2 linked regions of the Oryctolagus cuniculus genome follow. The protein of the gene in region 1 interacts with the protein of each later gene in a pairwise test. Links are inferred from orthologs where the notes say so. Each region holds a gene or a part of one and is shown on either strand. Other genes may lie near its edges. The genes, in order: PLIN1 and ABHD5.

Evidence for each region.
Region 2: the proteins of PLIN1 (region 1) and ABHD5 interact in a protein complementation assay, tested with the Homo sapiens proteins (3 studies listed by BioGRID, with this or other methods). The link is inferred for Oryctolagus cuniculus from reciprocal best matches to the Homo sapiens genes PLIN1 and ABHD5.

Annotation. Positions count from the first base shown.
Region 1 is NC_091443.1:99,744,116-99,747,917, reverse strand, and holds part of PLIN1 (perilipin-1), read left to right. Parts: intron 1-1,181; coding exon 1,182-1,386; intron 1,387-2,941; coding exon 2,942-3,024; intron 3,025-3,802. UniProt on the Homo sapiens protein: Modulator of adipocyte lipid metabolism. Coats lipid storage droplets to protect them from breakdown by hormone-sensitive lipase (HSL). Its absence may result in leanness. Plays a role in unilocular lipid droplet formation by activating CIDEC.
Region 2 is NC_091441.1:104,510,449-104,514,741, reverse strand, and holds the start of ABHD5 (1-acylglycerol-3-phosphate O-acyltransferase ABHD5), read left to right. Parts: upstream 1-1,354; 5' UTR 1,355-1,441; coding exon 1,442-1,488; intron 1,489-2,663; exon of another isoform or gene 2,664-2,710; coding exon of another isoform or gene 2,711-2,718; intron 2,719-4,293. UniProt on the Homo sapiens protein: Coenzyme A-dependent lysophosphatidic acid acyltransferase that catalyzes the transfer of an acyl group on a lysophosphatidic acid.

The sequences.
Region 1 (3,802 bases):
AGGCACCTGGCTCCTGGCTTTGGATCAGCGCAGCGCGCCGGCCACAGCAGCCATTGGAGGGTGAACCAACGGTAAAGGAAGACCTTTCTCTCTGTCTCTCTCTCTGTCCACTCTGCCTGTCAAAAACAAAAACAAAAACAAAAACAAAACAAAAAAAAAACAAACACAGGTTGGGACCTGGAGCTCCTTAGCGTGGAGAAGGGACCTCTTATGGGTGACACTTTTAGCTTCAACTACAGGAAGAGCCAACCATGAGGGATGAAATAGGCTTGCCCAGTGCTGCTCCAGGGGCAGAAGGTGGGCTGAGGGCTGGAGGTGGATTTCGGGCCCTCAGAGCTGGCCGACAAGGGGCGCTGGCCGACAAGGGGCGCAGGCCTCTCTCTCTGAGGACAAGTGCGCCCCTCCTCTCCAAGAGAGGGGAGCCTTCCAGGGGAGTGGGGCGGGGCTTCCTACTGCACGCCCCCTGGAGGCCCAAGATCTGAGCTTTCCCATTCTGCTCTGTGCAGCCCCGCTTGTTTAATTTGGCCCTGCTTTATTGAGCTGACATTATGGGCCAGGCCATCTGGGGGTATAGCAGCGACAGGCACTGGGAGAGAGGGCCAAGCATACACAAAATCACAGCACGGCAGGTCCAAGGATGGCCACCCAGGGGCAGCTGTGTAGGATGAGGACTGGGAGGTTCACGGGGCAGTGACGGCCAAGCTGGGTCCCGCGGGAAAGGGCACGGCTGGGCAGAGGGGGACCTGGATGGAGGGTGAGCCTCCCAGATGCCGGGGCCGGGGCACACAGGCAGGGGGCAGTGTTCCAGACAACCGGACAAGTGTTCAGGCGAGGCCACCGGTGCAAGGTGAACCAAAACGCCAGACACATATGGCAGCAACACTTGCTCTCTCCTGCCAAGTTCAGGAGGGGTGGCCAGGGAGGAGGACAGGGGCTGCCTCTGTCTCTGCAGCACTCCAAAGCCTGGCTCGTGACCTTGAGGCGCTGCAGGTGCATCTTACCTTCCCTGTGGCTCCCCGTGTCCCCGTGACTGTTGGCATCCGGAGACCTCTTTGGCCTTGGTTCCTCCCAGGTCACTTAGGCTCAGTGACTCACTATGGGCTCCCCAGCCTGGGCTCACCTTCCCAGAAGGCTGGAGAGAGAGGTGCGACAACAACGCGAATGGGTTCCTTCCCTGGCAGGAGCAAGAGAACGCGCTACAGCGGGTGCTGCAGCTGCCGGTGGTGAGCGGCACGTGCCAGTGCTTCCAGAAGACCTACGCCAGCACCAAGGAAGCCCATCCCCTGGTGGCGTCCGTGTGCAATGCCTACGAGAAGGGCGTGCAGAGCGCCAGCAGCCTGGCTGCCTGGAGTATGGAGCCAGTGGTCCGCAGGCTGTCCACCCAGTGTGAGTCCTCACTGACACTCGCGGCTGTCTGTCCCCCGTCTGGCTGTCCCATCACCTGATAACTTGTCTGTCTACCCGACCGCCTACCCAGGCCTACATCCCATTCCACGGTCTTCTCACGTAGAGACACAAAGATGTAAATATAGCTCCCTGTCCTTGTGTAGATAGATGCCCCATCATTACCCAGCTGGCTGTCACCTGGGATGACAATGACGGGGCAAAGAACTGGCAGGGGGAGGGGTGGGCGGGGCTAAGTGGCGATGGTGAGACGGGGGCCCGTGGCAGGTCAGACACCTGCTCTCACTACGAATCCAGTGGCTCCAACAGCAGGACTGGTGGGCACCAGTGCTGGGAAGGGGGGGCATTGGCTGAGCCCCACAGCTGGTGATACCAGCTCCTGGCACGTGGGGGCAGCAGAGGGCCATCAGCCAGGGACCAGGACGGGAAGACGGCTGTCCATCAAGCCCTAGCGGCCCTGTCCCTTCAAATTGCTCAGCCCAACTTGAAGTGAATTCTCCAAGCCGTGGCTCTCGATGGGGCTGAGGGAACTCCCAGCAGCGCTGAGAAGTCTGGCTCCCTCCTCGCTGCTGGCTGGAGAATGAGGGGGATCTGAGGCTCTCACCCAGCCCACAGGAGAGGAGGGCGGGTGAAGGCCCCTGGCCCTGGGCTGGCCTCCCTCCCTCCACCCTTTCCCAGTCCCGAGACAGCCCAGTCACCAGGGCTTGAGCTTTCTCTGAAGGAAGATAAGATGCCCGGAGATGGCATGTATGAAAGAGCATCTCTTGGCCGGCGCCGTGGCTCACTAGGCTAATCCTCCACCTAGCGGCACCGGCACACCGGGTTCTAGTCCCGGTCCGGGCGCCGGATTCTTTCCCGGTTGCCCCTCTTCCAGGCCAGCTCTCTGCCAGCTCTCTGCTGTAGCCTGGGAAGGCAGTGGAGGATGGCCCAGGTGCTTGGGCCCTGCACCCCATGGGAGACCAGGAGAAGCACCTGGCTCCTGCCTTCAGATCAGCGTGGTGTGCCAGCCATTGGAGGGTGAACCAACGGCAAAGGAAGACCTTTCTCTCTGTCTCACTCTCTCTCTCACCGTCCACTCTGCCTGTCAAAAAAAAAAAAAAGGCAAGGGCTGTGGAGAGCCCATGGCAGCTGTTGCTGACAGTGTCACCACTAGGATTAAGCAGCCCCAGACTGGTGCCACCAAGGCCCTGCCTCCCACCCACACCTCCGTGCTGCCTCTTCCTGCCACCCAGGCCGAGCCCCTGGGCAGCCAGGGAGGGAGGGAGCTGTGAGGAAGCCGAGGCACACACAGGCTGTGGCTCACCTGAGGCCACACACTGTGTGGAGGTGGGAGCTGAGCTTGGAGTGTGGGCCCGTCCCAGCGCAGGTCGGGGCTACTGACGGCAAAGGGCTCAGGGTCAAGGACACCTGGGAGGCAACAGGGCTGGGCCCCCAGGGCTCTGAGGAGCTGCCTCTGGCCCAGAGGCCACTGCTAGGTTCTTACAGTGGGGCCGCACCCCCACCCCACCCCCACCCCAACATGGTCCTTCCCTTCCAGTCACGGCTGCCAATGAGCTGGCCTGCCGAGGCCTGGACCACCTGGAGGAGAGGATCCCCGCCCTCCAGTACCCTCCGGAGAAGGTGAGCCCCCTGCTCGACCCCCGTGCCTGCCTCGCCCTCGGGTGCACTGGCGCTGGACTCCCTCCAGGCTGGGGGAGGCCCCTACAGCCGCACAGTGGCTGCTTTCCCTGCCCTTGGAGTCAAACGGACACAGGTTTTTCCCGGAGCAGCAGGCACAAGCCCAAAGGCAAACTCAAGCAGAAAGTCGGAGTGGGGCCCTCTGGGAGTCACATGCATCGGGAAGACAGAATGCAGTGTCTGCGAGAGCTCCCAGCCTTGACGGCCCAGAGCCCGAGCAGGTCCCTTCACAGGGAGCCATACTCACGGAGCAGCTGCCCGTGGGGGAATGAGCTTCCGTCTCTGACCTCATCCATCCACCCACCCAGGCACTGTCCGAGCCCCCAGCCCCACGGCATGAGCTCTCCCACTGACCCCCTCGCCCACTCTCTGGGGAAGGGGCCACGTCCCCAGAGTTCAGAGGCAACCACCTGCAGTGGAGCCTGGCAGGTGCACCTCTGCCTGGGACCTGTGCTCTCCACTCCCCCATCTTTCCAGGTTAAGGGCAGTATCTTTGTCACAAAGGAGCTCCCAGGTTAATGAAGAGAAAGGCAAATTATTTCAGGGTATGACTTGTGGCAGGAAGATCAACCATGGCTATCAGCCTATAGGAAGGCAGATGGGACTATGAGCGGAGAGGCCCTGTGGGCAGTAGGGCGTCAGGTGCAGCCCAGGAGGAAGACCTGGGGACTGTCCGCAAAGCCACAGCAGTGGTAGCTGTGAAGGGGCCAGAAAGTCCACG
Region 2 (4,293 bases), on another chromosome or scaffold:
TTGGCACAGCTCCAGCTATTGTGGCCAATTGGGGAGTAAACCATTGGATGGAAGACCTCTCTCTCTCTGTAACTCTGACTTTCAAATAAATAAATAAATAAATCTTAAAAAAAAAAAAAGAAAAAGAAATCTTACTATGCCCAAGAGAACATGAGTAAATCACAGAGGAGAGTATCCCTATCTTTGAGGAACTTTCAGTGTTGGCTGGAAGGAGGCTCAATAGTGTCCCTTAAAAAGCTACAGCCATTGTACAAGGCTGAGGCTCTGAGTGCGAGAGGGATGACAGAGACAGGTTTGCAGAGAGAGGCTGCCCTGAGAGAAGACGATCAGAGAAGGAGAATGCTACTCTGTTGCAGCCATGTTGGGAAGAGAGGCGTTTGGGTCACAGGGACCCCCCCCCCCCCCCCACACACACACAAAGCGTTTAATGTGGCATCTTGAGAACAGGCTCCTCATTTCGTTAGAGGGATCCCTAGGAAAGGACAAGCAGGCTCGCTTGCTCGCTTACTCTCTTGCTCTTCTGTCATGGGATGCTGGTAGATGCTGGATTTCCCAGCCCCTAAACCGTGAGGAACGAACTTCTGTTCCCTCTGTGTTACCGCGTCCTAGGCAGCACCCAACAGACGGAGACAGAGAGAGCTCTACGGCATCTAAAGGAAAAGGGGACATGTTAGCGTGGGCTCCCTACAGGCAGCAGGCCTATCTAATCGCCGCTTCCCCAGCGCCTAGAAAACAGTGGGCACGAAGTCAGGCAAACTGGAGGAGTGGATGGATGGTGGCAAGCGCTGTCATTACACAAGCAGGCTGTCTCCGATGGCTAAGAGGCTACAGATGCTGACAGTGACATCAGAGATACCCTATCAGGAACCTGACACCTCCGGACTCGGACCTCAGCTCTCCTAAGAAGGGTGTGGGGAGGTGGTTACTAATGGGGGTGTCTCCCCAGCATTACAGCAGAGAATACTGATTGGCTGGAGGCTCCTGCGAGTCGCCCTATCGCCTCGGCCACCCACCCGCGCAAAGTAGCATTTCCATTGCCCAGCGGAGAAAATCTATGTAGGTTCTCCCAGGGACTAGGTCGTTCCTTGGCTCTCAGCGTCCAGCACCTGACAGGCAAGGCCAGAGGGATGATGCATCAATACAGTCATTATACGAAGTTACCTTACTACCTAACTCGGCAGAGCCAGTATCACCAGGTCCACTAGCCTGCCTGCCTTGCCCAGCGGCCGTACAGCAGCGCTCCCGGCGCGAGGACGCATGCGCAGCTGGCGGAGCGGCCCGGCTCGCGCAAGCGCGCTGTGGCACCGCCCGCAGCTGCCGGTGGACAGCCGACGCATGCGCAGTCGGCGCAGCATTAAGGGCGGCGGCGGCGGCCCTGGGCGGCCCAGTCGGCTTGTCAGCCGGCTTGGAGACGCTGTCCGGCGCTTGCGCAGCGGCGGCCATGGCGTCGGAGGAGGAGGAGGTGGACTCGGCGGACACCGGCGAGAGGTGAATGCGGCTGGGGAACGGAGGGTGAGGAGTGTGGGGCTGCGTGGGTCCCCAGCGCGCGTCCTCCGCACGGGCAGGGGCCCGGCCCAGTGGGCAGCACCGAGAAGCGCTTGGCGACGTCTGGCCGCTGCCCGACGCGAGCCCGCGAGCCGGGAGGAGAAGCCCCGCGCGGGCACCTTCAAGCGCCGGGCTTGTCTGCGGCCGCCTGGGCCGCCCACACCGGGGGGCTGCCCTCGTGCGGTTGGGTAAAGCCGCCCCGAGGGGCTGGCGGCGAGGTGACCGCGACGTCCACACCCGCGCTGGCCCTCCGCCCCGGGGAACCCCGGGTGTGCCCCGGTGACCCCGCACCTGACTGGGTGGCCCGGAAATGGCCGAGGCGCTTGGCCCGCCTCGGAGGAGCTGGGGGCGTTAGTGGGCGCTGTCTCTGTCCAGCCTCCGAAAGTGCCCTGGGGCCGGGGTGGAGGGCTAGGGGCTCGGTGGGGAGTGGGCGCCTGGCTCGGCGTACGGGCGGCGCGGACTGATAGAAAGTTGACACTTGGGAGCGGATAACCAGCTCAGAAGGGATCATTGATCTTTCAGAAGTAGATCAGCCTCCCAGCTCCGCCTTGCCTTTTTAAAAATTTTATTTATTTAATTAATTAACTTATTTTGTGCCCCTGTTGTGGTTCTGTCTGGAGAGGACGACGGGTACGTGAAACTGTGAAAGTTGAGGGTAGGTCCTGAGTTGGGATTAACTCCAAGCACTTGTTAGCAGGAAGCGTTAGTGGAAAAGTTAAATGGCTGTGAAGGTCCTTGCCTTGTTTGCCAAGGCTGCTCGTGTATATTAGGGGAGGGGGGAAGTGTGGACCCCCCCCCCCCCGCCCCCGTGCGTGTTTCATATGTAGACAGCACTTCGGCTTCAGATGTTTGAAGAAGCAGCTTGCATAGGCAGCCTGACCTGATAGGATGTATGGTAGGAACAGCGAAGACAGGGATATTTGGAAAGACGTGGGGAGGCTTATGAATGGTCAGTCGCCAGGGTCTTCCTCTGAGTTTTGTTTTATGGTGAATGGGTCCGTTGTTTTGGTTTGTGGGTCACTGCCTTGTTCACTGCGGGTGGGATGCTGAGTGTGGCCTAGATGCGAGCAGGAGCCTTCGTGGTAACTTGTGTTCCCATCTGGTTTGTCAAAGACAGCGTTGGCTCTTTCCAGAAGAGTGCTTCGAGGGGAACTCGTTGGTCTCCATGTTGTTGTGAGTGTTGGGCGTCCAGGATATCACCGGGAACGGGGTTTATGGCTTTGGGTGACGGTTGCAGGTCACTGGAGGCAGATTGTGCAAAATCATTAGCATGTAACCAGCTGTCCCTAGACAGAGGTGGGCCTCCCCGGTGGTGGTGGCTGTGCACTTGAGCAGGGTCCGGTGTCCATGCTGGTTATGGCCTCCTGAACTGTCCCACAGGCAGACAGGGAAGACTAAGCTCTAGCCCCTGCTGGATGCTGCCCAGACATTTCCATGTTGAACCTAAGGGGCAGCTTGTGCCCCGGATACTCTGTTCCCATTTTGCAGTTGGAACTGCTTCCCAAGTCGTGGCGCTGGCTGGATTGGAGTCCTTTGGCTGTCTGAATTCAGGCCGAGGCATTTCCCCCATATTTCTGCAGCCTCTCATTTGGATTAGAACACAGATGTTCGGCTCTTGTTTTGAATCAAGTTCCCCGTCCTTAAGACATTTTGGGTTTAGATGGGGATGTGATGTTAGCAAAGGGAACAACTGTAAAACAGTTATTTGCAGCATATAATTCTTGTGTATTCCCTTGTGGCTCCTAGTGAAGATGGGCATTCCAGGGAGCGTTTGACTTTCAACATCCAAGTTCCTAGAGTTGCTAAATGTAACCAGAATAGTTTAGACTTCTGTGAATTGTTGTAAGCTTATCCTAGAAAATGGTGAAGACATTTTTGTCATCCAGAGTCACAACTGTGCTGTCACCTTTTCACAACCCTCACAATTTTATTGCCCAGAATACCAGATGTGTTACTAAGTTCAGCAGACTCTAAGCTGAGAACTCCTTTCCAGTTGAGTTTAAAGGGAAATTGTCACAGAATTGCTCATTTGCAGGGTAGACAAAAGAAGAGGTCGTGAGCTGGAGTTGATTTGTACCAGAAAGCCATTGCTAAAATTTTCAGTAATTTTTTTCAACCTTTGGCAGCTTGAAATTGGCCATGGTATTTATACCAAAGAAATCATCAGGTGCTACAAATAAGGTATAAAGGATTCTCTCTCTCTCTCTCTTTTTTTTTTTTTAAATCAAGATCTTTATCTTCCTTCCTCCTCCCCTTCTGAAACCCTTGCCTTCTTAAAACCTGACTTGTTAAACAAAATTTTTACAAAATTTCAGTGCTGTACCCCACTGGCCTTTTGTTTTTCTCAGTACTTAACTTTCCTGGGTCCTGTTCAGTGTTAGATACTGTAATGATAGCGGCTTCCTTTTTGAAACTTTTATTGGACATTCCAGCCCTTCAGTTTTCCTTCTTACCTTAGACAAAGAGTCACTTTTATTAGATTCTCTTCTTTTCCTGTTTCTGAGTATAGCACTTCGTCCTTGGTTTTGTTGTGTTGTTATTCACACTCCTTGAACTGCTTGTCTGTGAACGGGACTGAGATCTCGTTTGCTTTCCGAATCTCTTCTGTACACGGTGATGCTTCTGTTTGTCAGGTGTGTTTGCACCTGATTCCTCAAACTTCACGCCGTCTAGCAGCTGCCTTGGGCCTTCCCTCCAGCAAAGTAAACAGCACAAAAAGCTCAGCTCTTCCGCTGGATTTTTCTGTTT